Linked DNA regions of Lonchura striata. The protein of the gene in region 2 purifies or fractionates together with the protein of the main gene of each other region. This does not show direct contact. Links are inferred from orthologs where the notes say so. Each region holds a gene or a part of one and is shown on either strand. Other genes may lie near its edges. The genes, in order: INTS12, PPP2CA, CCT8 and INTS9.

Evidence for each region.
Region 1: the proteins of PPP2CA (region 2) and INTS12 purify together in Homo sapiens (affinity purification with mass spectrometry; 4 studies listed by BioGRID and IntAct, with this or other methods). This does not show direct contact. The link is inferred for Lonchura striata from reciprocal best matches to the Homo sapiens genes PPP2CA and INTS12.
Region 3: the proteins of PPP2CA (region 2) and CCT8 purify together in Homo sapiens (affinity purification with mass spectrometry; 4 studies listed by BioGRID and IntAct, with this or other methods). This does not show direct contact. The link is inferred for Lonchura striata from reciprocal best matches to the Homo sapiens genes PPP2CA and CCT8.
Region 4: the proteins of PPP2CA (region 2) and INTS9 purify together in Homo sapiens (affinity purification with mass spectrometry; 3 studies listed by BioGRID and IntAct, with this or other methods). This does not show direct contact. The link is inferred for Lonchura striata from reciprocal best matches to the Homo sapiens genes PPP2CA and INTS9.

Annotation. Positions count from the first base shown.
Region 1 is NC_134606.1:47,849,071-47,856,990, forward strand, and holds the start of INTS12 (integrator complex subunit 12), read left to right. Parts: upstream 1-4,909; 5' UTR 4,910-5,039; intron 5,040-5,049; exon of another isoform or gene 5,050-5,498; intron 5,499-5,518; exon of another isoform or gene 5,519-6,435; intron 6,436-7,920. Other genes in the region: GSTCD (glutathione S-transferase C-terminal domain-containing protein), read right to left, coding at 1-421, 1,226-1,474. UniProt on the Homo sapiens protein: Component of the integrator complex, a multiprotein complex that terminates RNA polymerase II (Pol II) transcription in the promoter-proximal region of genes.
Region 2 is NC_134617.1:9,548,285-9,556,004, forward strand, and holds the start of PPP2CA (serine/threonine-protein phosphatase 2A catalytic subunit alpha isoform), read left to right. Parts: upstream 1-4,715; 5' UTR 4,716-4,833; coding exon 4,834-4,935; intron 4,936-7,720. UniProt on the Homo sapiens protein: Catalytic subunit of protein phosphatase 2A (PP2A), a serine/threonine phosphatase involved in the regulation of a wide variety of enzymes, signal transduction pathways, and cellular events.
Region 3 is NC_134604.1:4,124,585-4,131,731, forward strand, and holds the start of CCT8 (T-complex protein 1 subunit theta), read right to left. Parts: upstream 3,012-7,147; 5' UTR 2,916-3,011; coding exon 2,856-2,915; intron 1-2,855. UniProt on the Homo sapiens protein: Component of the chaperonin-containing T-complex (TRiC), a molecular chaperone complex that assists the folding of actin, tubulin and other proteins upon ATP hydrolysis.
Region 4 is NC_134605.1:111,908,575-111,916,311, forward strand, and holds the start of INTS9 (integrator complex subunit 9), read left to right. Parts: upstream 1-4,723; 5' UTR 4,724-4,815; coding exon 4,816-4,824; intron 4,825-7,737. UniProt on the Homo sapiens protein: Component of the integrator complex, a multiprotein complex that terminates RNA polymerase II (Pol II) transcription in the promoter-proximal region of genes.

The DNA.
Region 1 (7,920 bases), on a different chromosome or scaffold from region 2:
CTTTTAAGCAGGTCTTCTTAAAGCCCAAGAGTTCCAAAACATCCTTTTTAGATGGATCTGCCTCAAATGTTTTCTGTATTATATGTCTTAAGACCACAGAAAGCCCAGCTCTGCAGAATTTGTCATCTTTCACGACAACAGCAGGCAAAGTGCAGCTCTGCACAACCACTGGAAGCTGACATCTGGAGATTAAGTGGACCTCAAGATCACCAGCGAGGCTTTTTGTCACACACTGATCACCCACATCTTCGCCAGTTGGCACTAAAAAAACTTTAAATAATTTGCAGTCACAATAGGATAGCAAAAACAGTGAGATAGATGTATGAAGAGGAAAGATACTATCTCTGTACTGATGAGAAAAAGCCAAATATAAATGTTCTTCAGCGACATTATCTTTCATCTTCTTCCTGAGATGAAGTTCCTGAAATAGAAATCAGAGTACGACATCCATAAAAGAATACAGAATAGAAAAAAGAAAAGAAAAAAAAAATTAGAGCACTGGTTCTTCCACTATCTGCTACAACTGATTTTAACATAAGACACTACTAAAGACATCCTGCATCAATAATTGGCAGGCCCTTAGTTAAGGGAAAAGAATGCTTTCACATCTACACTGTCTCTTCACATATAAGATCAGGAATAGGAAAATTACCTCTGTAATTTTTTTTTACACTTTAGCGTATTTCTGACACCAACCAAAACCTAAAAAAAATGTTTCATTTTCAATTTTTAAGTACATAAACATTTTAAAGCAAGTTGGGTTTTTTACATTAAAATCTTCCACAATATTAACCATGCATTATTTAAAAAAAAAACATTTCCTGAGCACATATCTACAACAGTCAGTTCTCTAATACAAACATCTGTCTTTTTGTAACTGCTAAATGGCATTTAGAGTAGGTATTTAGGCCTATTTAGGGAAATAATATTGGTTTTTGTATTAAAAATTAATCCAGAGCTGGGTGAGATAATAACATAAGCAAATAAACATTCATCTCATGATACTACATGAACACCTTAAACACACAACTACTTTAACGCAGTCAAATTCAACAATAGCAAAGCTGAAATTAATATCTTCTCAGTATATTAAAAACTCACATTAATTTTCCTTACAGTGGGTTGCAAGCTACATTTTTCCTACTACAGTATTCCACGGGAGTTTAACACAAGGCGCTGAAGCAGTAATTTTTCTACTCCATCGCTCAGCAGAACTGCCCATTACCTGAGATGACAGGTGGCACCGGAAAGCCTCAGACACTAGATGGCCCTCGCGGCACAAGTGACACGGGCACAGCAACAGCGCAGCGAGGAAGAGAAACCCCAACGCTGCTGAGAAACGCCAGAATAGGGTTTTATACACATATATATAAAGCATGAATGGCACTAGAACAACACTGTCTAGATTAATGAGGTCTTTGACAATTACACGCATGATACAAGTATTTTTTAAAAAAGTTTTAATTTCATACATCTTGATTATTCAATTTATTTTTTTCCATGTAGACATGAACATCACACTTACTATTTCATATTACCTACCAGAGGGCCAAAACAATTGCCCAAAAGGGGGGAGTGGAAGAATAAAATCAAGTCTACCTGACATTAAGAATACTGATGTCTGTTATAGTGAAACATTTTTAAACCACTAAATGACAAAAAAAGTGTCTCTGCTACGAGTACTGCTGCTTTTCTTTAATTAATACACTGCCACACAAAGAACAGGACAGTACACAATGCCATACCTACTTTACCACAAGATATTTTATTTGGATAAATCTTGACAACATGGAATCTGAGACAGAGCCTATATCCTAAGTACACCTCTGTGGCAGAAATCATCCAGTGAAGGCACAGCCAGAGAGGTAAATCAGAGAGAGTTATTGCTACCGTAGTCATACCCATAGCTTCTAGTATTTAAACTCCTATCCTCAACTACAGTACCTCTTGCAATATTAAAAAGTACTCTTGTATGCATTTTGGTTAATATTTTTGTTCTCCATGTGAACTCAAAGAACTCACAAGTCCATCTTTTGCTCAGCACGCAAACCACTCAGATAAACACATTCACCTGATCACTCAATTTTTTTATTCTAGTTGATGTTCCTGGACTCAATCAGCTATTTTGGTCATTCTCATGCTATGCAAAACTACTAAATATTTTGGTAAACTCTGACAAGGTTTCTATTTCCAAAGTATATTATTCTATAGTTCCCATCTATTAATCACCTGTTGTTAAAATTTATTTTTAAAAACTTCTTACAAGTAATTTTAACAAACTGGGCTTCCATAATGACTGCAACTTGATATACAGGTCATTAGAATATCAACACATTCAGTCTGGATTTATTTGAATTGTTAGTTATTGCAAAAATGTCTATGTTTCTCCACCACACTGAACAGACTTCTTTCTCAGAGAGCCTTGCAAGGTTAAAGTTTCCCGTGTTCCTGTTACACGTGAAAAAGCAAAAGCACAAAGAGAATTTATAGCTCAGTGTCACACTGGAAGTCTGTCCTAGTGCAAGCCAAAAATTTGGACATTTTTCCTTAAAGGCTTTGTTGTTTGGTTGGCTGTGAGATTTTGGGGGTTTTTAAGGTCAGTCTGCGACAATGAAAATTACAGTCAGGCTAACTGTATTCTCAAATCTCTCAGAGAAGAGAAGCTAAAATAATGTGTCCAGGAGTTCTGTCTATAAGTGACTTTACCTCTGTTTCCTCATTGTTTCCTGTAAGAAGAAAGGCCTTCTTGAATCATCACTTCAACTGAGCTGCATACCCTTATACTGCCACACCCAACCCCTCTCCCATATTTTTGGATAATTCCTCTCAACATTTTGTCTCTAAGCACTGACGTTATAAGGTCACCTCCTATATTTTTTGTTTCGAATACTGGTGCTCTTCCACACTGTTTGGTTAGACAGAATCTATATTCCTTGTGGACTTATGCACATATTTTCAATTCAAAAACTTAACAGCCTAAATGGTTGCCCATTCTCACTTAAATCTTTTCACAAAACTACTACCTATCCATTACATGTGTTTATTAATCCCTTGGCAACTTACTGAGAGAAAAGCAGACGTAGACATACACAATAAAATGAAATGTGCAATACAGAACTAACCAAACCTAGTAAGACATTGTACTGTTTGCTCACAGTATTTTTTCCCAGCACTTTTTTCTCTAATTAGGCTGTAAATTCTGTGGGAAGAGATGGATTTTTATTCTATTGGCCGTATTTACAGTAGACACTGTTTGAAAGAGAGAAAATGAAAAGCAATGTTCAATGTTACAATTTGCACTGTAACTTAAATGACAAAGATAAATAACATTGCCTACCTTTGGTATAAAAGACACCTACTTTAAAATTACAAATAATATGTAAATGTAAGTTTCACTAGCTGCGCTGTTTTTACCATTTTCTCCTCCCTTTCAACATGCTCTAAACCACAGTTAAATTAGGTCCACTCAGTTGCCCTGTTAACAACGTAATAAAGAAAAACACTGCTTTAAAAACAAGTGTTTCCCATAAAAATTAAAGACAAATAAATACATAAACATCCTCTTCCTTTTGAAAGGAAAAAGATCAAAAAGATCCTATTCATTTGTTGGTTTCTACACAGTAAAACGGAACTTCTGTAAAGCAGGCGCGTTAGCATTTGAGAAACGCTTAATATAATGCCACTTAACGCGGCAAACATTTAACTTGGTGCGAAGCATTATTTGTGCTTTAAGGCACGTCACTTGAGAGCCTGGAGCTGTATTTCTATCCAAGACGACCCATTTACTGCACGCGTTCGGGGCCAGCCCTGCTCAGAAGGGGGAAACAGAACAGCTTCGGACCCGAGCTGCAGGCGGGCCTGCGAAGGAACAGAAAGCTGTGGTCGGTTCTGGAGAGCCAAATGCGGGCGGGACTCGGGGACAGGGCCGGGACACGGGGACAGAGCCGGGACGCGGGGACACGGGGACAGAGCCGGGACACAGGGACAGAGCCGGGACACGGGGACAGGGCCGGGACACGGGGACAGAGCCGGGACGCGGGGAACAGAGCCGGGACGCGGGGAACAGAGCCGGGACACGGGGGACAGAGCCGGGACACGGGGGACAGAGCCGGGACACGGGGACAGAGCCGGGACACGGGGGACAGAGCCGGGACACGGGGACAGGGCCGGGACACGGGGACAGAGCCGGGACGCGGGGTCAGAGCCGGGATGCGGAGACAGAGCCAGGATGCGGGGGACAGAGCCGGGACGCGGGGACAGAGCCGGGATGCGGGGGACAGAGCCGGGACGCGGGGACAGAGCCGGGACGCGGGGACAGAGCCGGGACGCGGGGACAGAGCCGGGATGCGGGGGACAGAGCCGGGATATGGGGGACAGAGCCGGGATACGGGGACAGAGCCGGGATACGGGGAGAGCCGGGATGCGGGGACAGAGCCGGGACACGGGGAGAGCCGGGACGCGGGGACAGAGCCGGGATGCGGGGGACAGAGCCGGGATATGGGGGACAGAGCCGGGATACGGGGACAGAGCCGGGACACGGGGAGAGCCGGGATGCGGGGACAGAGCCGGGACACGGGGAGAGCCGGGATGCGGGGGCCAGAGCCGGGACACGGGGACAGAGCCGGGACACGGGGACAGAGCCGGGATACGGGGACAGAGCCGGGACTCGGGGACAGAACCGGGACACAGGGACAGAGCCGGGATTCAGGACGGCAGCACACGCCTGGGCTCCCGCAGCACAGCTCCCTGCAGCCCCGCTCCCTAAAGCTCTGCTCGCAGCTGCTGTCGGTGCAGCGCTGCCAAAGCAGCCCCGGGGCTCCGGCAGCGCCACGTTCCCTCCATCCTGCCCGTTCCCCGCTCCCTGCCCTTACCCGGCCCGGCCGCTTCCGTCCCGGCTCCGCCTCTTCCTGCGCCGCCCGGAACTGCTGCGCGGGGACTGCCGTGCCGCCGGACCTGCCGGGGAGCCTTCCTCCTCCTCCTCCTCCTCCTCCTCCTCCTCCTCCTCCTCCTCCTCCTCCTCCTCCTCCTCCTCGTCTCCGGTGAGACACCAGCGGGCGCGGAGAGGGAACTCGAGAGGATCGGGAAGAGGAAATTTGGAGTGGGAAGGGGGAAGGAAGAGGGAGACTGGGAGGGGGCAGAGAACGACTGGGAGGATGAAGGCAGAGGGGAGTTGAGAGAGGGAAGAGGGGGTTTGGCAACAGGAAGAGGGAATTTTGGGGTTGGGAGGGGAAGAGGGATTTAGGAGGAGGCAAAGGGGGTTTGGGAACGGGCAGGAGGAGGGAGATGGCGAGAGAGCAGAGGGGTCTGGGGAGGAGAAAAAGAATTTAGGAGAGGGGAGGAAGAGCAGGTTTGGTAGCGGCAAGAGGCATTTGGGAGGAGAAAAATGGGGTTGGCAGAGGACAGTGGGGGTGAGCATGGATGGGAGAAATAGGATGTTGGCAGGAGGGAGGAAGGGGGAGCCCTTAGGCACACCCGGCCGCTCTTCCCCTCGGGCCCGGGTGAGCTTTGGGTGCCCTGTGGGGCAATAATGGTTGTAGGAGGATGGCATTTTATTCTTTTAAGCATTCTAAAGTGTTGCTCTCAGATGAGAGGCCTTCCCTTCGTTGGTAAAAAGAAATCCCAGGGAGAAATTTGCAGCGAGTAGATTGCGGAGGGTCACGTCGTGGCTTTGGCGTAACTGCTTCAGAAATTCATTTTTGACTAAAGCTTGCTTCTCTCTCTGAGACATGATACCCAGGAATTTGTACACTTGATAAGTTTCAGTGTGGATGTTGAATAATGCAAAGATGAAAAGATAGAGAGGTGTACTCAATTGGCCAGTGTTTTAAGCCAATGAGCACTGGCATGTTGAAATATCCTCGGGTCCATTTTCTGCAGAATATTGAAGCTCAGTGGTAGCAGGGCTTAGCAAATCTCAGTTGTGCAGGTGCAATTATCACAAAATATCCTGAGTTGAAAGGCACTCACAAGAATCATACCATTTATCAGGAAAGGGATTTACAAGGAAACATCACCACTGCTGCATGGAAGAAGTTTGTTAGTGACAGCAGACACAGATAAGGGTCAAACAGTTGATGTCTTCTTTGTCACAGACTTGACCTGTAAGGTCTCACAGGGCCTTTTGCCACAAGGCAGAGCATAAGGAGAGGAGGAACTACAAGTTGTGGAAGAGGATTGAAGCAGATTGTCCCTGATAAGTCCATAGGCCCACGTAGACTTCATTAAAGGGTGCCAGCAACTGGCAGCATCTACACAAAGCTGCTTTCTGTCATCTTTTAAAGGCCACGAGACTGGGGGAGATCCCAAAGACAGGAGAAAGGCAAATCTTATCTTCATAAAGGGCAAGAAAGACAAAGAAGAGAACTACAGACTGGTCAGCCTCATTCCTTCCTCCTGTGAAAGGATCGTGGAGGAAGCCATTTGTGGCAAAAGAAGGTAGAAACTGGGAAGAGCCAGATCTACCAAGGATAAATCATGCCTGATCAATTGGCATGTCCTCTGTGACTAAATAGCTAGATCTGGAGATGGAGGGTGTGTTGGATACCATCTGCTCCGGGCTTAGGGGGATATAATGGAAGCTTGAATTTTCTTGAGGGTATTATTGGAAAGATATAGAGCCAGTCTTCATAGTCACATGCATAGTGGGAGAATGAGAGACAGCACAACTTAAAACCTCCAATTCAAAGCAAGGAAATGAAGGCAGTGAGGCATTGGGACAAGTTGGCCAGAAGGATTTTTGCATTCGTGTCTTTGGAGATTTTCAGGATCCAGCTGGAAGAGCCCTGAGCAAACTGGTCTGAATTCAGTGTCAACTTTGCATTGAACAGGAGGTTGCACAGGGTGACATTGTGGGGTCCCTTCCACAAGGAATGATTCTGTAATCCTGAAAGAATTCACTGTTTTTGTGGAGAAAACAGAAAATATAGGGCATTAATGTAATTTTTAAAATATTGGATAAGCTGTTTGTGGTGATATTGATTGGAATACTAATTTAAAAGAACATTATAAAATATGTTGTAGAATAGAATGTAAAATTAAGGATGCCAGTACTAGTAACTCCATAGCAGGAGATCTTATAAGTGTCTCAAAAGATTCTTTGAAGACAATGACAAGAAAATTAGAACGGATTAATACAATTGTTCTCATTAATACAGTTATCCAGACTACTGAAGTGCGTGAGTTTTGAAATGTCCCTTGTGGAAAGTAACTGAGAAATTATCCTGTCATAAATCAAGTGCTGATTAAGATAGTTAAGCAGCTGAAAATAGAAGTTAATTTTTTCCTCCTTTTAAGATTTTCCTAGATCTACTTTCTTCAGAATCATCAGATCTGAAAGTGACCTGGAAGAGGCATTATTGGTAAATAAGGAAAATCTGCCACTGTCGCTGTTAATAGATGTAGTCAGGAAGAGGGTAAATTCTGAGGAATAGAGGGATCCAAAGTGACAGGGAAAAGTGAATTGTTTTTACAGTGGTAAATGAAAAATAGTGCAGTGAGTGTGTTGGAAGGAATTATATAAGCTGTTCGTTCATGTGACTTTTTTAAGGTAACTGCTACAGATCTTGAAGGTCGCTGAAAAGGATATGTGAGTGAAAGGCCTTTTAATCATAAGTGGCAGTAAAAAATAAAAATATTGATGAGTTTATAAAAGGATGGCATAATAGCAGAAGACTTTAATAGCATTGCAATATAAATAGAAGATGTGTACTTTCTTTGAAAAACATCTTTAGTAGTATACGTGCCTCAGAAAATAATAACAGGAGTTCAGAAACAGATGGTTGAAAGTATGACTGTATCTGAAAATGTAATGGAAGTAGATCCATTTAGCTGCAAGTCATGATGAATAAGATAATACATGGGCAGGTGTGCAAAACAGTAGATGGCAAATGAATGAAAAAAAAAAAATAAGAGGGCTCCTAC
Region 2 (7,720 bases):
TGCATTGTGTTTGAGATTTCACAGAAATTACTTGTTCAGTCCCTTTTTAATATGTTGCAGCTTAAAACCCCCCACATCTTACAAGTCCTACATTTTTCATATTCCTAAAACCAGCTATCTGAAAGCCAGAAGCAGTGGTTTCTCCACTGGGTATTGGCATAATAAGCAAAGATATGTATCTATCCCATATCTAACACAGGAAACCTTATGTAGGAATTGTCCATACAAGGCATGTGGGATGTGCCAGGTTTGTGCCTCTTACAAAAAACGCACTTGGGATCACATTATCGCCATGACAACTGCTTGTACGTATTAATAATTTGTTGTGCACTTAAACATAGCTTATGGAAAGGACTGAATAATAGGAGTTTTTCCAAAGAAAGCACTTGTAACACAAGCTGTGCTGATCCAAGCCTTACACCAGCAATCAGCGAGCCTGAAACCTCCCAGCATGAGCTTAGCAGGACATTTCACAGATGCTTATGTTATCTGTTTAAAAGGAAGGAATTTAAGGATGGGCCCAAGTATCTTTTGAACTGGGGTCTCTACTCGAGACTCTCAGTGCTTCTGTCATGTTTGGAAAGTGAGCTAATTTCAGTATCTGTTTCCTCATCGGGCTGAAATCATGTATTTGTCCATCTGGCGATAAAGTGATAGTATTTGTCCTGGCTGAGGTGGTGTTTGTCCAGTATTCTAGAGATTAAAACTGGTAGATGATAGTAGGAGGAACGTGGCCCTGCACTCAGGTGCACAAGGATGTACCCGCTGCTCCAGTGCTCCTACCCAGCCAGGCTGGACACAGAGAGTTCAGTGCCACAGTCATGAGACGAGAGCAGGAAAAAAAAATACTTGGGAAATATTAAGCCCCTAACATTGGAGAATCAGCACTCTATTCCTAGCTTTTAGAAGACTCTTGACTGTGAAATATCTGTAACCATAGTGATTTGAAAATGTGATTTTCATGGTTACTCTGTAATTTCTTCTTTCAGTAAGACACTGCACTTCCTGCTTTATCTACCACACAAGCGTGAATGATGAACTAGCAGATTTCAGCAATATGTTTTGTGGCATGCAAGGTGATTAATAATGAGATTCTATCTTTTACAGAAGCCATTCTGTTGAAGTGAGTGGGCCACTGTTCACAGTGGTATTATTGATGTCACTGATTTTGTGTACTATCTGGACTCTGAAATTAGTCAAATATACAAAAATAGTATTTGCTTGTAATGATGTAATAAATATCTGATGTAAAAGTGTTCTGCTTTTCTTTTGGTCTTTTGCATCTTTAAGATGACAGGTTTATCTGATTTAATGAGACTATTAAGACACAAAACATATATTTTATTCAGCAGTGGACAGTATCTGAATATGCAAGAGATTTCATGATGTGTACTTCTGAATTTATTTGATCAGAAGTCCCTTTCCTCCTAGAGGCAGTTGACTTCCACACTAATGTACCAGTGTCTATATTCTTTGCTTGCAGAAATACATGTCTTAATCAAAGTTGGCAGGTCTACATCTAAACGTGGCAGCTCATTGTTACACCATTGTATAGCCTTTAAATTGTACAGTATAGTCTTTATATTGTATTGCATAGCCTTAATTCTGCATTTAGTATTAAAAAACCATAGCAACAGACATTCTGGACGTGCATTGATGGATAATTTAGAATCACTAAAATATTCAAAGAGAGAGTCAGGTGTGAAGGAACTAATTTACGTGTTCCTTACTCTACAATGCTAAGTTGACAATACGTTGTATAGTTGGACGGTGCAATATAAATCTACATAAATCTGCATTTAAACACTGATGTCTCATAGTACAATGGAAATGTTGGTGTTACAGATGAGATTATTGCAGTTGCTAACACCCTCATCCATGAGTTTCAGATTAATTTCAGACTAGTAGAGAATTAGTTGGCACTATAGGCTAACAGCTGAATAACCTACAGCTGGATGTGTGTAAACAAAAGTGCAGTCAGCCTGACCAGTTCACCTCTCTCCAGAATGTCACACATGTGACACATTGGTCCCTGACTCAGGTGTCAGCACACGAGTGTGGCCTCCATAGCCCTGACTCACTGGGGCAGCCACACCCAGGCAGCTCCTTAGGTACAAACTACTCACATGCCAGGCATATATTCACATACTAAATACGATTTATTACTGCCATCTCACAGGTTACAGTTTAATCTTACTGTGTATCTGAAGCCCTGACAAACACCCAACTTATGCAACACAGCACGTATCCTTTCATAATTAGATTCTCCTCTGAAGGCTCAGATAAATATCTAAGAGAAAAGCAACTGTGATTCTCTAAACAAATGATTGTCATTCTCAAGTCAGAGGGAGGAAGGAGATCTGATTTCTGATCCACATATAGACAATTCAAAAGAGTAGGAGGATAAAATACAGTATGAGGATAAAATAATGCTTGGAATGGAGATGGAAACCAAAGGTTTCCCCTTCTCTGTGTGTCCAGATAAATGAATCCTGAATTTCCTTTGCAGAGTCCTGAATTCTCCTGTAGTGAGTGGCACAGCTTCAGCTTTCAGCGACAATCAGGGAGTGCTGAATCATCTACCCCTTCCCAAGTGGAGTTTCTCTAAAAAAGAGCTGTATCACTGAGCCTTTTCAAGTGTTCCTTTCTTTACCACTACGCTCCTGGGAACCATCACAAGTGCTCTGAAGACAGCAGTGATTGTTAATCTGTGAGGCGTCCAGCCTGGTCCACACTAGCAGGAAGAAACTATTAACTTGGCTTGTTTGCCTACAAAACTGCAACTGAAATCCTGCCATGTTTTATCTGGTAGGTGAGAGGAAAGCACAGCTCGTGTAGATGGTTTGAAGTGTGATCCTCAAATATGTAATTATGCCAGAAAGTCAACAGTTATTAAAGAAAATGAACTTTAACTTGGCAAATTACACAAGAGTTGATGTTATTGTTTCATATTCTTTGCATATATTTTGCTCAAGACTATTTTGGGAAAATGTGCTGCAGAGTGAATTCTTGAAACCTATCACTTCTCAATGAATGGTACTTTTCCTTCTACAACTTTAAGCACAAAACTAAGGTCATCTGAAGATGGCAACCTATGTGAGAACAGCAAAATTATTTTGGAAGATAAACAAAACCTAAGTGAGGCAATTCAAACCAACTGATGTCTAGCAGGAGAGTATGACACCAAGAAACCGAGACTGACCCATGAAAGCAAACATTCCTTACCCCTTGCTCACTATGGAATTCTTAATTTCCTTCAATAATAGGCAAAGAATTTAACAAGTCAGACTCCATACTACGCAAGTGATGACCAAGACAATTAACACAAATTAACTAGGAAAAGTCATTGTGCCCTCTTGAAATTAGGAAATCAAGATTTTATCAACATTTTGACCCATTTAAGTGAAAAAATATTAAACTGATATTTTCATGCCTTTTGTAAGTTATTTAGGTGAATCTTCCTCTATAATTTAAGATGCAGATTGCAATAAAATACATAATTCATTAGAAATTGGTTCTGCCTATTTCCTACATTCTTTTTAATTGCAATTTATCTGTGTCTTACTGAAATATTTTCCCTTAGGTAGCAAGTGTCTGAGTACAATAAGGTAGCTAAGGTCACCGCTAGTTTCCTGAAAAAATACCACCTTCCTGAAAGTTTCCTGAAAGGTCTACCACTAATTTCCTTTACTGAACACTTACACTGCAGTTCATTCATAGATGCTGTCTAAAAAGGTCATTATAAACGCTGGACTTCCAAGAACTCTTTCAGTATAAATTGTTTTAAAGAAATGCAGCACAGCCTTTTTAACCTAAGCACTACCTGGTGGTACAATTAAGATAGTATTCAATGCTCATGATTTAGAACTGAAAGCTTAATTGCAGAGTAGCCAACAGCAAGAATTGTTCGGGTCGGAACGGAGATCAGCCAGTCCGACCCTCGGCCAGGGCCGGTCACCTGGAGCAGGGGACACAGGAACGTGTCCAGGGCGGTTTTGAAAGCTTCCAGAGAAGACTCCACGTCCTCCCCGGGCAGCCCGTTCCGGTGCTCTGCTACACACAGCATAAAGTTCTTTCCCGTGTGGAAGTGAAACTTTCTGTGTTTAGTTCACGGGGAGCGCTCCTGTCCTGTCTCTCGGCACCCGCCTCGGAGATACCTAGATGCATTAATTGCAGGGAGAACCACAAACAGTGCCGCACAAAACGCTCGCCAACATCGTCTCCCGACCCGGCAGCAGGCGCTTGGCAGCCGAGGGCCCTGCCCGGCCTGCGCCCCGGGAGGAGCCGGCGCGCAGCACCCGCGCACGGGAGGGGCCGGCACCGCCATGCCGGCGACCCCTCACGGCAGTGCCCTGGCTCCCGCCGCGCCCCTCAAACGGACCCTTCCGTGGGGAGAGGGCCAGCCCCCGGGGGCGCAGGAGCAAACCCGGGAAGGAGAACGAGAACCGAGACGGAGGAGAACCGGGACGGAGAACAACCTCCCGCCGCTCCCGGGGCGCGCTCACCGCCCTCACCGCCCCCTCCCCTCAGAGCGCACTCGCGGCCCCGCCCGGCGCCGCGCACGCGCCGTCGGCTCCCGCGGCGTCCCCCTCCCCGCGGCGGGGCCGGGGCGGTGACGTCAGCAGCGGCGGCCATTACACGGTGCGGAGCGAGGAGCGGCAGCGCTGCCGCAGCCGGAGCGCCCCGGGCCGCCCTCTCCCCGCGCCCGCCCGCCCGCCCTGACGCGTCGCGGCCGCCGCCGCCGCTGTGGGGAGCGCGGATCGCAGGGGCCCGCGGGGCGGTGCGGCAGCAGCAGCCGGTGAGGAGGAGGAGGAGGAGGAGGGGGAGAGCGGGATGGAGGAGAAGGTCTTCACCAAGGAGCTCGACCAGTGGGTGGAGCAGCTCAACGAGTGCAAGCAGCTGTCCGAGGGGCAGGTGAAGAGCCTCTGCGAGAAGGTGAGCGGCGAGGGGCGGCGGGGAGGCGGCGGGCCCGGGCAGGGAGCTGCGGGCAGGGGCGGTGCCGGTGCCGCTCGGCCGGGCGGGCCGGGGCCGGGGCCCGGCGGGGGGAGCGGGCCGGGAGCCGGGGCCGGGCGAGCCGCGGCCCCTCGGCTGTGCCGGAGCCTCGGCTCCGCCTCCCGCCCGCTCAGCGCCTCCTAAAATGGCGCCGCGGCCGCGATGGATCCTCGGGAGAGACCCCCGAGAGACCCCCCCGGTTAAAGCACTAAATCAGCCCCCAAAAGCGTGAGTTAGTAAAATGAAAATAAAAGCTTGTGGTAGGCGCTTGGAAATTACACGCGGTAAAGAGCTGCTTGCTTTGATTTTTTTCTTGTATTTTTCATTATATGAATAAGCGCAGACACGTTTATAACTAATTGAAGGGTAGATTAGCTTTGGGGTTTTGGTTTCCCTCAGTAGGGTTCTGGGTTTCACGAAATTCACAGAATAAACATTCGAGTTCCAATATAATTTCGTATTTCATGGTGATGGTTTGAGACGTGGATATTACAGGGCAATGTGTTGATTGAGACATTCATAGCTTAGAAAGGTTGTAAAGCCAACCTAGGACAGATTGCATTTTGGAAATGCAGGAAAATTTTGTTTTGATATAATCCAGAGGCATTTTCCAGTCGAATTCTGATTCTGGATGTAACGTAATAGTTGAGGAGTGGTGGTGGTGGTTTTTTTGGTTTTTTTTTTTTAATTACTGATGATTTTAAGTATTTCTAGACTGAAAGATGGTATATTTATAAATTTTTTGGGAACTGGATATTAAGGAATATATGAAGTGATGGATGTACTGGCTTCTAAAGAAGCTTATGTACATGCCACAGAAAGTACCTAGAATATTTTAATATTGGAATCATGTTTTCACATACTACACCAGGTTGTTTTGGAAGCAAATTGATTTGAGATCACTGTCCATGAACTTAATAAAGAACTTGCAGTGATTTTGGCCAGACCAGCTCTTGCTCCAGTACAGATTTTAGTTCACTTGTATTCCAGCAACTCAACAGTTTCCATTTGGTCCAGGCTGTGTGTTTTAAAGGCTGTTGCAAGCGAGTGGCAGTGTCACCGCCTGGCTATTTCCATGTGCGTCTCCAATGACGGCGGTCCAGCTGCTTCCTTGTATTGCTTTCTGTGAGAGGCAAGTATTTCACTTACCATCGTTTATAAACTGATGGGTACTGAGTCCTGAATCCCACAGGAGTGGGTGCATATGGCCCCATTTTGTGGGGTTCTGTGGTAACTTGCAGGACCATGAGGGATGTATAATGTACAAAAAGTTTTTGATGTACTGGGGGTTTGGTTCAGTGAGAAGCAGGCATACCACAAGACATTCCTTTCAGAAGATACAGTCCCAGTCATCAGTGTTGCACAAGATGACATTATCATTTTTTCCCAGTGAAGAATGGAAATGAGCTGCATTTATGGATAAATGTGCAATGCTCATCACCAGGATGATGGTAAAGGAAAAAAGCAAAGAAAACTTGGTGTCTGCTTCTGTGTGTTGAGATGAGAGACCATGAAACTGGAAGAGAAATCTGCCAATCGCAATGTTCTTTGGCAGCAGCCTTCACGTTGGCTGGGCTGGCTCTAGGGGAGCTCTGGGTGGGGTAGCAGTTCTCTCTGTGTGCCCAGTGTGTGGTCAGCACTGTGCAGAGTTCAGCCACCGGGCTGGTGATGTTAGGGAAAGTTGATTTGTTGCTGATAACTACAGGTGGATTTACTTGGACTTTATGCTAAGAGTAGTTAAGTTTGTTCATGGTTGCTGATGGAAGGAGTTGGAAGTAGGCCCTTGAACTCTGAGTTTACCATCTTCTTTTCTCCACTGTGTTCATGGAGGTGGGATGAGAGCTCAGTTCGGCACCTTTGTTCTGATGGACAGCACTTGCTTTAATGTGTTTCCATGTTCCCAGCACTGACTTTCAGAAATCTCACTGGATTGTTCTTTGTTTGGGCTATTTAAGTAGTTTTGTGCATATAATCACATCAAAAGGCTGGTTTTCATGAATAGCTTATGGACAGTGTCAAATGCAGCTATTGTTCCAAAGCACAGATAAAGACGCTACTTAGGTATAGAGTGTTGTTCTTCACCATATTGAATTACAACTGGGGCTAGTTAAAATAAACAATATATAAAAAAAAGAGGGCTTTTCCTGATAACACTTTTTGATTGGATGATCTCCCTGACAAGTATTTCTTGATCTGCTGGGGCTTCCTGTGTGCAGACTGGTGCCTCTCTAATGAGAATAAGCCTAAGGGCTCTCTCGTATTTCAGTATTGATAACTGAAGAAATTAACAGGTTTTTATAAACATAATAATTGTGGCCATTTGTGCATCCCAGTTACTTTCTTGGTGTGTCTTCCACTGAACCTGGTTACCTGGGTGATGGTGGTGGTGGGAACTGGGCAGAAACATCTTTGAAGTCTAGAAGTAATTTGTAACCATGAATAATACATTATACTTTCACAAATGATTTGAAATAATCAACCTCTGAGTGGCAGTTAAATAATTCTAGGCTTAGTACGTGCTGCGTGTTTAATGTTACATCAGTTGAGTAGCCGATTGTGTGTGTTTTGCTTCAGCATTTGAGAAATGCAAGTTCTAAAGAAGTGGTCAAAATATACCCAGTCCAGTTACTGTTACATGTCAGCAGTGTTTGTCCTGTTAGTGCTGAATTGTTTATTGGCAGAGGTGAAAGGAAGTCCTTTATTGCCAGGTGAGAGGTTTTCTACTGGC
Region 3 (7,147 bases), on a different chromosome or scaffold from region 2:
CATTAATGAACTAGTAAAATCTCATTAAATCAGTCTCAATTCATTGAGTCCCTCAAAGTCTTTTATTAATATACATTTGGTATTTCACATACCGTGTAAATAGACACCAAACCTTACCCAAGACAGTGAGAATTAGTACATACACCCTCTCAACTAGGTAGCTCAGTAGACACAAAAAGCTTCTAAAGAGAAAATCTGAACAGTGACCTGACTTGCAATACAATTTGCATCCCCTCAGTCTTCCAAAATGTTTTGTGACATGCCAAAAAGAAGCAGAAAATAACCAAGATCCAGTTGGAGAGGGGCAAGGGTTTCTGTACATGTTTCTTTACTTGCACCTTTGTATGCTACAAAAATAATTTAACTCATTCTCTGTTCAAAACACAGAACTGAGTTAACTGAATCTGAAAATTCAGAAGCAGAATGATTAAGTAAAATATCTGTGCTTGAGAAGGCGATCAGCCTGGCTTCAGTTTGGAAACCTTAAGACAAGATGGGGCCACTAGAAAGGACCTTAAGAAAGAAAAAGCAGGATAAAAAGCACTATGCAGTCCATAAGAGAAGGGAGAAAAGTAACAATATTTACTCTCTAAATTCATGCCAAACATCTTAGATTGCCCCCTTGTTTTGCAGAAGACAACTCTTGCTGTTCTGGCTTTGAATTTTCTAACACTGAGGCCACGCTGCTTCCCTGTTCTGCCCCTGCCCTGAACGTATGCCATTATTTGGCTCCAAGAAGGATTCTAAAACGAAACACAAAGGGCTTTCAGAACTGCTACCTTTGCTCTTCTTTCTATTAAGTAGCAACAAATGGAAAAGTTTCCTATGTTCCCTCTTTCTTGGAGAGAGGGACTTTGGACAAGAACCTGGAGAGACAAGACAATGGGCAATGGCTTCACATTGAATGAGAGTAGGTTTCTGTTAAGTGTTAGGAATCCCTGAAATTCTTCCCTGTAAGAGTGGTGAGGCTCTGGCACAGATTTCCCAGAAAAAATGCAGATACACAACCCTGGAAGTGTCCAAGACCAGGCTGGATGGGGCTTGGAACTAAATGATCTTTAAGGTCCCTTCCAAGCCAAAGTCTTCTGCTGATTCTATAAATAATAAAAAATAAATAAAACCCACACCTGCTTGCTTTCTGCCCACTTTTCAAAGAAAGCTTTTCCTTTATTAAGATACAATTCTTCACTTCTACCAAAATCTTCATTATGCTAACATCAAACACAACAAAACCGGATTTATTGGTAAGGAAATCTATAGAAAACATTGTTCTGCATCGCTGCCAAAGGTATCAGGAAAAATCAAGCAGAACGACCCGGATACTTCTGAACTGCTTCAATTACAGGGCCCGGCTGACAGTTGCTGCCCAGCCCCTGTGAGAGCTCTTGTGATGCACAGTAATAACTCCACAATCAAGGGTTGTAAAGTAGATAGGTATTTATTCAGCGCTGCACGCAGGGGGGCAAAATCTTCCCAAATCCTGTGTACCCCAGCTTCCCCAATCCCCTTATTTATACACAAAATCCATGCATATTCTATATCACCTATACATATCCAGAAACTAACCCCACCTATTCTCTGCATTATATGGAAATTAGCTGTGACTGCGTAGTTCGTTCTTTTATTAAGTCAATGGTCTCAAAAATGAGCCTGGGGTCCGGTGAGATGAAGCTTCCATAGTCTTCCTCACTATGGAACTTTCCAACTCAGATGCACAGCCGCCCTTTTGCTTCCCATCTTTAGCAAGCTCAACAATTTCCATCAGAGGCCCCCCTTCTTTTTGCATACGTTTAATAATGTTATGTGTAGTAAATATAATTCGCACCATTCCTTGTATGAAATATGTAATATTAGATACTTGTTAGATTATGCCCGTTTGTATTAGTTCCCCCCCACCTTTGCAGGCGAGACTGGGTGTATATTGGAAACTGATTTACAAGTAAAAGGATGTGGCTCGACCAGGAGATGAGCCATGTCCAGACTCCATGGGACTGCAGGTGTTTGTTGATCATCAGGTGCTGATCATCGCATAAACGGCCCAAGATGGATATCATGGAAAACCTCAGACAGATCCAGGTGAATGCAGCCTTCCCGTAAAATCTCATCGGGAATTCACCTACTCCAGACACTGAATTATTCCTCCTCATCACCAAAAAAGAAAATCTCATTAACCTATAGACTCTGAATAGAAGAAAAGACTGATTGCTGAAATCCTGGCCTCAAGCGGAATTTTCCCTATAAAACCCGCCTGTGCCAGGATGGAGGTGTGTGGGCACAGGGGAAAACCTCTGCTGAGGCTGACTCCTTGTTGCACACCCAGCGCTGACCCCGGGCTCGGCTCTGATCTTTCCTTGTGGCTGCCTAGATAGAATTTAACCGCTAATAAAATTATTTTTATTTTTAATCTGGCTGAATAAATTCTCATTTATACCAATCTGCAACAGAATCGACCTAACATACACTATATGTTCACTATATGTGATATGTTCACATTGCCTAAATCATTCTAAACTCCCTATTAAATCTCGCGTTTCACTGGGAACAACGCGGGCCCTGTCGCATCCCCGGAGGCGGCGGGATGAAGCGGCAGGGCCCGGCCCAAGGGCAGGGCGGGGAGCGGGATCCCGGCCCCGCAGAGGTTTCTGGAAGGCCGCGTGTGCCGGGCGGTCCCCGCGGGGGCCACAGAGCGGCCCCGGGCCGGGCACTGCGCGAACCCCCGGGCCCCCGCCCCGCGGGACACGTGCTGCCGCCAGGCCCCGCCGGCCTTCCGGGCCTTTCGCCGCACCGCTACCCTGAGACTCCTCCCGCACCCCCCTCCCACTTATACCCGCGCACCCACCCAACGCCGGCCTCACCTTCGCCCCCTCCTTGAGCATCTGGGCGAAGCCCGGGGCCTTGGGGACGTGCAGCGCCATCTCCGCTCGGTGCGGGGCTGCGGCGGCGGGAGCGCGCGGGGCACGGCGGGAGCTGCGCGGGCGCGGGGCGGGAGCGCGCGGGGCGGGAGCGCGCGGGGCACGGCGGGAGCTGCGCAGGCGCGGGGCGGGAGCGCGCGGGGCACGGCGGGAGCTGCGCAGGCGCGGGGGACTGCGCATGCGCGGGGCGGCCGCGCCGGGTTCGCGCCGCCCCTCAGGGCGGGCGGCGCCGGGCTCGAGCCTTCGCTCCCTCTCTCTTTCCGTGTTCCCGGCGCTTCCTTTTCCAGGAAAAGCGCCGGTTTTTTCATGGCCACCGATGATAAACGTCATAAGCTGAGCAGGCTCTAGGCGAGCGTTTCACTTTGTTGGAAAATGCGTATTTTATGATTGGCTTTTCGCAAATGTTACAATGAGTATTATGTGTGTAGTGTTAGAAAGTTATGCTGTATTAATTCTCTTAAGTACTGTGTTAAATACGGTTTTTAGGTTACAACATAATGTTAAAACAGAAATTCTGCGATATAAGATTTGTCACAAGCTCAAGCGAGAAGATGAGATGATCAAGAAACTCTTCACACAGAGATGTCAGCGAAGGGGGCCCATAAAAAGTTACAGCCTCCTTATCAGGAAAGACAAACATTCTTCCACCTTCTCTCTGTCTTTTTGGAACCACCAAGATTAAAGAGAAGAAGCTGACAAAAAACAGAAAAGTTCTTAATTTGCAAGGAATTTATACATCATGTATGAGATAGATGAATAAGCAACAGGCTATTGCTTTTAAGGTTATTCCTTTGTTCACAAGGGATGCTTTTCGTGACTTAGTGTCCAAGAGCATCCAGACTGCCGTAATTCTTTGCTTTTTATTGTCTTGTAATTGTCCTAACTCTAAATTTCATTACTCTAATTGTATTGCTATTTTTATAACCTTTTTATTATTATTAAGCTTTTAAATTTTTAAAAAACCAAGTGACTGGCGTTTTTCACAACTTAATACGTAAGGATCACAGGTTGAGATAAGAACAATTTACTGAAAACACCAATGAGTTTAGAAAGCAAGCACTAACAGCAACAATGCTTCTGACTGAGGAAATCAGCAACCCACACAGAAACCCCCCAATAGCAGACAATACCTCCCTCCACAGCACTTACTCGACTGGACTTCAGTGATCCTTGTGGGTCCCTCCCAGCTCAGGATAGTCTACAATGCTATGATTTCTGAGCTGCCCTCTTGGCACAGTGCTTTTATCAAAGCTTGTGTTGCCTGCATTTTTTAAAGCCAGAATACCACTAAAACCATAATATATATGTATGCTTGTGACTATGAATATAGACAATATCTATGTATGAAGCTGTATTGAATTAACACTAAAACATCTCTTTGTGTTACAGCCAGGATTTCTTTGGGACTCACTGTCTAATCACAACTTTGACTTGGTCTTGATCTTTTTTTAGCTATGCATCCATTTATTTTCTGCATAGACATTGACATGCTAAAGGACTATGCAAAGGTCAGAGGGTTGGCTATTGGCCGTTAGCTGCACTTTCACCACCCAAAATCTATAATTGTGCACATGGAAATCCCCGGCTTATCTGTAGGAACTTGTTTCTCAAATTCTAGGAGGGTAAAATTTTAACAAGATCTTGGGAAGTTCATAAGGAGGGCAGAATGTTAATTTTTGTTTGTTTATTCAGCTCTGGGAACCTGAGCAATGGAACAGAAGGGTTTGAAGACATCTGCTGAAGTGTGAGTAGGACAATTGTGTTTCACCAATAATACTGGCCAGTGAAAATGTGAGTGGCACCTTGAGGGAAGGCTAAGGGCCATGCTCAGTTTGCAGAGAATCATGCTTAAACCTGAAACAGAAAATTGTGAACCACATAGTGCTGAACATTCAGAATAATTCAGAATAGTAACAGTAGCAGCAGTTACTTTAGCTTTCCCCCAGATTACACTTAAGTCACTTTTAAGATGATGGGAAGGAACAGACTAATCAACTAGAGTATGTCCAATCAGCTAAGTACTACTTAGGTCATTGCTCTACAGGTCCTGGGTTAAACACTACCCTTATCCTGGGCTTCTCTCACTTGTGCAGAGGATTGTAAGCTAAACAGGAAAGCAAGATTTTCTTACCATTTGGAATTCTTACCTCAGTGTATGCTCTCTCTGCTATAGCTAATCCAGTTAGCTTGAGTCACAGGAAAGGATTTCTGGGCACTTTAGAGGAGTATTGCCTTAGCATAGAAATGTCCAAAAGACTTTTAAATGAGGCAGAGGGACATGGTTCAGTGGTGGGTGTGGCACTGCTGGGGATCAGTTGGACACAATGGTATTTGAAACCTAAACAATTCTGTAGTTCTACCTGCACAAATGACAAGAATTCAGAACTTCCACAGAACAAACAAATTGGAAAGGATGATAGTCTGAGAAAGGAATCACTGCTGTTTATATTGAGTTTGTATTGCAGGTACAATCAAGACATGTGTTGTGACACTGGTATGGTACTCAACAAAATACAATCCAAGAGCCTTTATTTCATGGGAGATGGTAAAATTGTTGAGATCATTCCTGTTTTGCTGCCATAAGAAAAAATCTTAGTTGGGAAAAAATGACATGTCCTCTAGATGGTGAGTTCTGTTTTGCTTGAGGAAATGAAATACAGCATCAGATAAGGGCTAGTGAAATACTTTTCCTAAGTTTTCAGCTTGGTCATATGGGAACTCTTATCCAGTAGAGTGCACAGAAGCCTGTAAATACCTGGAAATATATGCCTACTGCTACTGAAGGTTCAGCTGTTCATGTCGTGTGGGAAGGACTTACCAGGACCTATGTGTTGATGGAAACTTGGAGAACACCAAACTGAGGAGTGAGGGAAATAGGAGTTTTAAGTTGTAATTGGAAAATATAGGAAACAGCAGAAGAGAGGGGCAAACTTGGCATTGAATAAATGAAGACTTCTGAAGAAATAATACCCAAACAAAATAATGAAGAGTAGAATAAATAACATCTATCTGCAGCTTCTGGAAACAAGCTGCTACTACACCCAATTTGCATTTCTTTCAACTCTGAAAACACTAATCAAAAAAAAAAGGTAGCTCAAAAGGCAGGATTCTGAGCTCAAGACCACAATTTATGCTGTCTAGTGTCTGAGCCACTGACATCCGTGATCTTCTTTCTTCATTTTGTCATATTGTGACTTTGATGCCCAATTTGGAATTTTCTAAGGCTGGTCAAAACCAGTACTACATCTTCAGGATAGAGACAGAGGTTTTTCCAATGTTTAGTACTTTGTTTATCTGCCTAAATAATATTAAAGGCCTTCCCCAAGTAACTAAAAATTTTGTTTCTCATATTGTCCTCATTATGATTTGATTGACATGATTGGCTATGGGTCTCAACTCCACCTAGTTAGTCAAACTGGTATCTCTTAAGCCAAATTATCTGTGCAGCTTATAGACCCACTATAGCTGTCACACACACTGCCTAAAAAAACCTGTTATGTTGAAGACTGTACTATTTATTTTTAAAAATAAAGTGATGTATATATATATATATATATATAATCATTACAGACAGTTAACCCAAGGTATCATTTAAGTAGTGCAATACAGTTTACATATAAGGAATGAGCAGACAACATTTTCTAATATACCTTCAAAATAGGTGAATGTACCAGTGTTGTAATAAGTACAACAACAAAAAAGGTGATATCCTGCTGTTAAGCCCCAAGCTCACTGATATTAGCTAAAGGATGTCACCAGACATTGAAGTTCCAAGCTGAAGGTGACATGGTGGTGTCAGTCAAATGTTGGACTCAATGATCTTGGAGGTCAACCATATTGATTCCATGACTCAGTAGAATCAGGCAGCTTTCGTTTCAAACCCTGTACTGAGGTTAAGGTTCTTGAAACAGTAATCTAGCCATAAACAAATCTCTGCCTTTTTTCTTTTGAAGGACAATTGTCCAAACTCGTTTTTATCATCAGTATTGCTTGTCTTAGTCACTCTGCAGGCTAGGTGTTCATTGCTTATCAAAAATAGATTTTATCCATAATGTATTTAAGCATCCTTTTTCCTTTTTTCTTTTTTTTTTTTTTTAACACAGTACAGTAAAGTGACTGTTTAAATGTTTATTATGCGTCTTTATGGCCCAGGTTCTTAGTTCTGTTGACATGGGCATCAAGGAGAAGACTGAGGAGAGACCTCATCACAGTTTACAACTTCATCAAATCAAGGG
Region 4 (7,737 bases), on a different chromosome or scaffold from region 2:
AAAGAAAAAAAACAAAAAAAACTTCAGGCGATAAAGTTTGAAACTGGAGAAAAGAGAAATAATCTCTAGATGTTATTTTTAAAATGTCAAAGCTAGCCAATTAATGAGGGGAGGAAGAAAAACTGATTAAAGCCCTGACAAACCCTTGAGATCACAGACTGATTGCGAGTTCTGCTGCGGACTCCCTGTAGGAACCTGGGCAAGTTGATCCCTCTACACCTTTGTTTGCCACCTGCGAGAGGAAAAATAGCACTTTCTTTTCATATCCTGTCATTCTTGCTTGCATTGTTCCCCAAATTAAAAGCATTTGTCAAAACACTTATCTTTAGCATTAACCCTGGGAATTGCATTCACAGCTACCACACAACCCGTTTGCATGACTGAGTGCTCAGACACAAACTCTTAGTACACTTTGTTACCCAGCCATCCTAATTTAATACAAATCAGAAGGGAGCTTTAGTCAATACAGGAATATTAGAATGCTAAAATATAGTTTATTACTAATCCTACAAATAAAACCAGCTTTAGGGTTACGAGTTACACTGACCCCCTCCTGGAAAAAAAAATCAAATTCTCCTCATTATGTCCTAAAAATCCTGCTGTAATCACAGTATTGGTCTCACTGCATTGATAACCCACCAGATCATATTATCAGCATAGGTATAATTAAAGCCCAATCCCATGAGGACATGTATGCAGAATCCAATCCCCGCTCTGTTAAAATCAGCATAATGTGAAATAAACTTCAGGGACTTTAGAATCAAAGCTGCATGAAGTTATCGACAGGAGGAACAAAGACATCTGTCTTTTTGCAGTGAGATTCTTAAGCTGACATTATTTTGATTTCAAATTCTAAAACTTTGCAGATGAAAAAGATTTGCTACAGATGCCAATACTGTAGCCTGTCATTCTGTAATGTCCTTAAAAGCTCTGCACAGAAATTGCTGTGAAGTACAAGTTGCTTTCTTTAGATTAAAATGTGCTGCTGTTTCCTGAAAATTCATTTGGTTTCTAACATATACAACCAAATACCTTCCCCAATCCCTTGGTACAAGGAACAGTACAGCTTCCTCCTTTCTCATGGTTCAGTTTCATTAATTTTCCCAATTCTCCACCCAAAGACCCAAATTTCACCCCTGCCCCACTGACACACAACACAAAATGAGCAATCCCAAAAGTGAACGACAGAACAATTCTTGACAGTCACGCTTAAAAAAAATACATTTTATTAAAAAGTAAATTAGTATTAAAAACAAATTTCAGAGCCTCACTCTTCCCAAATCCAGACAGCAATGAAAAAACATACCAAACACTCCCATGAACCTATGGATTCATCACTATAAAGTAAACACTTTATAATAATTTAATTTTCAAAACACTGCACAGCTATCAACTTTTAATATCCCTTTGTAAGAGATCAGTAAGACCCACACAGAAACTGCCTTAAAAATAAGCTCCCTGCAGCTGACAGCAGCTACAGACTCCATGGAATTATCAGAATCACAATGCTAGAGAGATGCATGTTGTCCAGAAAGGTCAATAAACCCACGGAGTTTCTTGACACCGCTCAGTGAAGCAGTTGTAGAGAAAACCAGGCCTCATTCACACAAGATTTTCTCCCAGGTTTCCTTACCCCTCCTTAAAAATCCTGCTGTTTCACCTAGGATAGCATTCCTGTAACCCAGCTGGCAGCCTGCATACCACAACGTCGTCTAGACCTGCTGGGAACAGTGGGATGACACAGGAGTAAAAATGCTGATGCCTGTTCTGGTGCTTGCACTGGTGCTGAGGGAACGAGGGGAGGAAGAACAGGCAGCACGGAGTGAAACACAAGTTCCTTGCTCCCAGCCTCCTTCCCAGGCTCCTCGGGTAATTCTTTCAACCAGACAGAAAAAGTTGTGGCCATCACAGGGCTAAAAGAATAATCCTCACATAAGGGAAAAAACATTCCCAAACCCCAGTTTTCACATACAGAAACAAACCCTGCTCTTTCCCAGACATGCAAATAACAAATGCATCCCTGCACAGACGTTTTCCATCCCTTTCCTCCCTCTCCCCCGTCTCCATCTCAGAGATGTTTTCTTAGCAATTTGGAAGAGAAATGGTAAAAAGGGAGATGCGAAACACAGAAATAAATTAAGTTTGTTCTCTGCTGTTGACGGATTTGGTCTTAGCACGATGGGAGGAAAAAAAATATTAGGAGTGATAAATCCATATATACCTACTCCAAACTACACCCTGCTTCCCAAGGGACACGGTATAATGGTAAATAAGTATAGATGCAGTTCCTACTAATGAGGCAGGGTACAGCAAGGCCAAAGAAAATGCAATCATCTCGGGGAAAAAAAAACTGCACAGGACTCCTCCTTTCCCATCCACGGAGGAAATCAAATGCCAGCTGCACCATCCCAGGAAGGAAGCAGAGCCTGTACCTGATGAGCCCTGCAGAAATGAGCGAGTCATATCACGGGACCAGAGCAGGCACTTCAGGCTTTCACCAGCCCAACAATTGTCTGCAGAGCACAATTCCTAGCTCCGGTATTTTACATGGCATCATTTATACAAATTGCAGGGGTATTTTTCCCCAGTGTTTTAGTTTTTCATTCCCTCTATCTCCACTAGTTAGAAGCAGGGGACGTAAGTAGCGTCTCCCAGATCCGCGTTCCCTGGCCATCACTTTAACGCTTTCCTCCCTACAAAGTTTAAATCTCCCCGGTTTTTTGTTCATAAACGTTTTGTACTTAAAAGCCATCGAATCACACTCCCAGAGTTACCTGAACTGAGACAGACCCGACTCCACAAACATGCTTAAACCTTCATTTCCTCTTCCTTCTTCCTTCCCCACCCCCCAAACAGCATTTTTTTTTTGTCCCTAACACGAAAGAACTGGGGGAAAAAACAGCACGTCCAACCGAGGCTTTTCCAGACCTATCTCAAAGAACAAAATGATTCCGAAGGAGTGCTCTGCAAACATACCAAGAGGCACTCCACCAACTAGGGAAAAAAAAAAAAATGAAAGGAAAAAGAAGAAAGAAAGGAAAGAACCCATCAGACAAAACTGAGGTCGAGGAACTCGGCGGGGTCTGGCTCGGGTGTGTATTCGGCACCTAAACATACTCGCATCTTGTTTTGTTTTAACCCCGAAGCTGAGGCAAACACTCCAGCAGAATTTCCTGCCGCTTCCCCCCGACCGCTCCTGCGGTCAAACCGTGCTGACCCAAAACCATCCCGGACACGGGACACAAAACCATTCACCCGCCACCCCCGTTCCCCACCTCTTCCCAAGAAGTACAAAACAAACAAGCGTCTGACACCCCACCCAAGTTCTCCTCGCACATTTTGGGAATGACTTTCCTCCGGGTGCTCCTCCTCCCCCACCCGTTCCCACGTTAAACTCTCCGGCACACAGACACCTTTCGGGGGTTTCACGCCTTTGCCCTCCCAGAAAACCTCCCGAAGCCTGGGAACGGCAGGGTTTGGGGCACCTCTGAGCCCCGTTCCCCGACCTCCAGCGGCACAAAGCTCCCGAAAAGCAGCCGAAAAGGAGCCCCCGGAGCCCTCGAACAGCCCCAGCCAGGGCAGAGCTCCCCGGCAGAGCGAGGGGGCTCCGTAGCCGGCTCCATCCCCGATCGGAGCCTCCCTCCTTCCCCTGCCGTCCCCGGGGGTCCCCGGGACAGACAGCGCCGGGGGTCGCACCAGCTCACCCCAAAACTCCGCGGCGAGCAACACCCGAACAAACACCCCCAAAACCGCAGCACCCACCCAGGCTGAGGGGGCTCCGCGGCCGCCACTCCGTGCCCCACACCGGGGAGATGGGAGGAATCGGAATAGATATACAAATGGCAGGAGCAGCGAACCCCAAAGGCGCCCTGCCCTCCCGCTGCAGCCTCCTGGGGACACCTTCCTCCTCCTCCTCCTCCTCCCCCGATCCGGGGCACCCGCGGAGCCCCCCAAAAGCCGCGGCTCCAACTCTGCCGCCCGTGCTGAGGGGCTGCCCCTGCCCACCCCTGCCCGCCCCCGGCTGCCCCCCTCACGCACATCCCGCTCTCCGGCTCGGCGCGACTCCCGGCGGTGCGGGCGGAGGGGAGACCCCTTCCCGCTGCCCTGCCTCCCTCCAGCCCACCCACCCGCCCGCCCCCTCCCCTCGCCGCCGCCGCCGCTCCCCCCCCGTATCCCCCCGCGACACTCACCTCTGGGTGCTGCCGGCGCCTCCGCCTCACCATGGACCGGCGGAACTGGGGGGGTCCCCCCGCCCGCCCCCGCCCCAGATTGAGGGGAGATTAACGGGGGGCGCGGAGGGACGAGAACAATAGGGGGGAGGAAATCCCTCAGCCCCCCCACGCCCCCCGAGGACACAGCCCCCTCCCCGCCCGGCGCTCCTCCTGCCGCTCCCTCCTCCTCGCCCGCTCCCTCTCTTTTTTTTTGGGCTTTTTTTTTTTTTTTTTTGGCTCAATCACACCAGACCGACTGTCTTTGTCTGTCTGACAAGCGCCATGTTGATATCAACATCCGAGCCCCCACCTGCTGCAGCTGTGAGACCCTGGGACTTGTAGTTCCCCCCTCCCCAGGGTGACGGGGAGACCCGCGGCGCCGGGACTACAACTCCCAGAGAGCCGCGGGCGCGCGGCGCGCCAATGGGGCGGCGGGGCTGCGCTCGGGGCGGACTACAACTCCCAGCAGGCGTCGGGCGGCCATGACGTTATCTGAGAACGATGGGGAGGCGGGACTACAACTCCCATGATGCCCCGGGGCCGGCGGGGCGGGCGGGCAGGAAGGCGGGCAGGGTTGTCCCGGTAAATAGAACCGGTGGACGCGATGAAGCTGGTGAGTGCCCGGGGCGGGCGGCCATGAGGGCGGGGAGGGGGCTCGGCCTTCCCCCGGCGGCGGGGGGGGCGCTCCCCCGGTCGCCTCCTGGCTGCGCAGTCTCAGCCTCGCCGGGCGTGAGGGGAAACTGAGGCGCTGGAGTGGGGCCTGAGGGAAAAGGTGGGGGAGGAGATGCTGAGGGAGTTGGGGGGACTGAGGGATAAGGGGGTGATAGTGGGGCGGGGAGGGGCTGAGGGAGGGGCGGGGGTCGGCCCTGAGGTGTGGGGGAAGGCGGGGGTCGGCCCTGAGTGGGGAGGGTAAGGGGGGGGGGGGGGCGTTGCCCAAGTTTAAGGTGTTGGATAGGATCAAATCTTAGTAAGAGGAGGAGAAAATGTTTCTCAGCCTTCCCAGCCTTAAACATGAGTCTGGTTCGGAGCTGTCCCCTTGCACGTGTGGCTTCTGCTGGACTCTGCGAGGAACGTGAATAAATGCCTGTGGTTTGTGATGAAGACGTTTTCCATCTGCAGTGTGATAATACAGGGAGGTACTAACGACAACAACAAAAAAAATCAGCCTGGAACAGCTTTGCTAAGGGTGCACCTTGCTTCTGACAGGGGTTTTGGTTCTGATATTACAGTCTTCTGTCAGAATGTACATGACCCATGATATTGGTCTCCTCTCTTGAGCTGTTTCACATTCTTGGAGACCTTGGATTCAGGAGCCGATTTTTTTTCCAGGAAGAATTTCAGTTACACATAATGTGCTGCACTTCTTGGTCTGGAGGTGAAAACCCAAGCAGTTTTCAACATACCTGAGCACAACACTTGATTTATTTAATCTGAAGCGACACCATTACTCAATTTAAGATTGTCTCTTGGTTTTGAGACTGAGCAGTGTGTTATAACAAAGCTTCATAGAAGTAAATGTTCTGGTTTAAGACCTTTAGGAAACCACTCTCCGTGGAAGTGTGTACAATTAATTCCAGAGGCAGGTGGTCAAGGAGTTTGATCCTGCTTAATCTTACCTGTGTGATAAGGATCTGTGCAGGGATGGCTATTACCAGTGGGACAAAAACTGCAAAGTCAAGCACCCCTGGATGTGATTGTAGAGGCTGATAGAATTCAGTGGAAGAAAGCAAACTGGGAAATCTTTATTTAAAGACCCCACTGTAAATGGAGAGCTCTTCTAATGTTGAGAGTCTTGCATAGGGGTAGAGAGGGGAAATACAAACTCTGGAGTCTGTATTGCAACATTTTTAGCATTGTTTTTAAATTCAGGTACTGAGAATTATAAGACAAGGTATTTTACCTTATATTTTTCTGGAGATGTGTCTGAATTTGGGGTTGTGAGGAGACAAGTCCTCTTTTTTATCCTCTCTTTATCCTCTTTTCTCATAGATTTGGGTTGAATTTGGAAGAACAGGGTAGAGGTGAGGGACTAGTGGAATGTTCCCTGTCCATGGCAGAGGGGTTGGGATAAGATGAGCTTCAAGGTCCCTTCTAACCCAAACCATTCTGGGATTCTGATTGCAGATCTGATTCAGAATCTGGTGAAAACCTCAGACTCCCACAAACTCAAATGTGCTTTCACTCAGGCAATCCTCAGTGCTCATTTCCCCCCAGATTTTAAGCTGGCATGTGATACTAATACTGGAGGAATGCACTGCAGGATTTGTTTGCTTCACTTGGAGTTCCAAGCACTGCCTTTAACCTGCACAACTCTGAATGTTTTGGAGCTGCAAGTTTGAGCCACCATCTCTCTGCTCTCCATGAGATGCACATGGAATGGGATGTGTGTGGAGAACCTGCCCCTCCCAGGCCCTGAGCATCTGGAACCAGCCCCTCAACCACTGCCCCACTGCCAAACTTTCATCCAATTTGCAAATCCTGCCAGGAAAGCTGTGAGCTGGGTATATTTATGCCTTTTACGTATTTTGTGTCTTTTTTTAACTTTTGGAGTTAGGAGATGAGGCACCTTTGTGTGTTGGCTGCACCAGCCTTTAGCCATAAGGGAATCAAGCTAGAAGCAAGCAAATCTTGGAATAAAAAACTTGCATTTTAATCCAGTCAGGAATATGAAAGCTCTGGATCTGTTTTAAATAGTAACAAGTATAAACTGTGTGGAAATTATCACATTTATAATGTGTATAGAGACACACATTGTGCAAACACTTCCATTCCTGGATTCCTGATCCAAAAGTCTAACAGGGGTGCAGGCCCAGCAATGTCACTTGTGCAAACAGCTGTATAGAAAATACAAATTGCCTTTTTTATTTTTCTGTCACTGTCTTTGAATCTGGTAGAAAGAATCCATTGACTCCCAGGAATCCATTTGCCTCAGCAGACAGCCACGGAGAGAGATGACTTTAGCTGCTTTTAAAGAAGGAAAAAAGAAAGATTTTCCAGTTAGGTCATAGATGTCAGGGTAGTAATACTACTCATGATTACAAAAAAAGGCAAGAAAATATTTTGCTGATAAAAGTGGTGATATTTCATTGCCTTTTTTAATTACCAATAGTTTAAAAGCTACAAAAATAGAACTTATTTTTCCCTTCATTTCTTTCTATTTACTTCAATTTATAGCTTCATTTGTCAAAGTTCTGGTCTGGTGAGAACTTAATTTCACATGAGAGTGTTACATTTGTGAATAAACCAAGTGAATTCCTCACTCCTTCAGCAGCTTGGCTTTACATATTTTTTTAAACTTTACTAAAAGACAAAATGTAATGTAACTCCTTAATAATTAAGGCTTTGTGAATTTAAAGCAAAACTCTCTGTGATATTTTGAATTTAATATTTGAGGCTTAGTCAGTTTTACTATTTAAATAGAGTTTAAAGCAGGTTTTTGAGGAATGTATGTAAATAGACTTCTTGAGGGTTGTTAATCCAGACAGTTGCAGTCCTGTGTTAACATTATTGTGACCAGAGGTAGAAA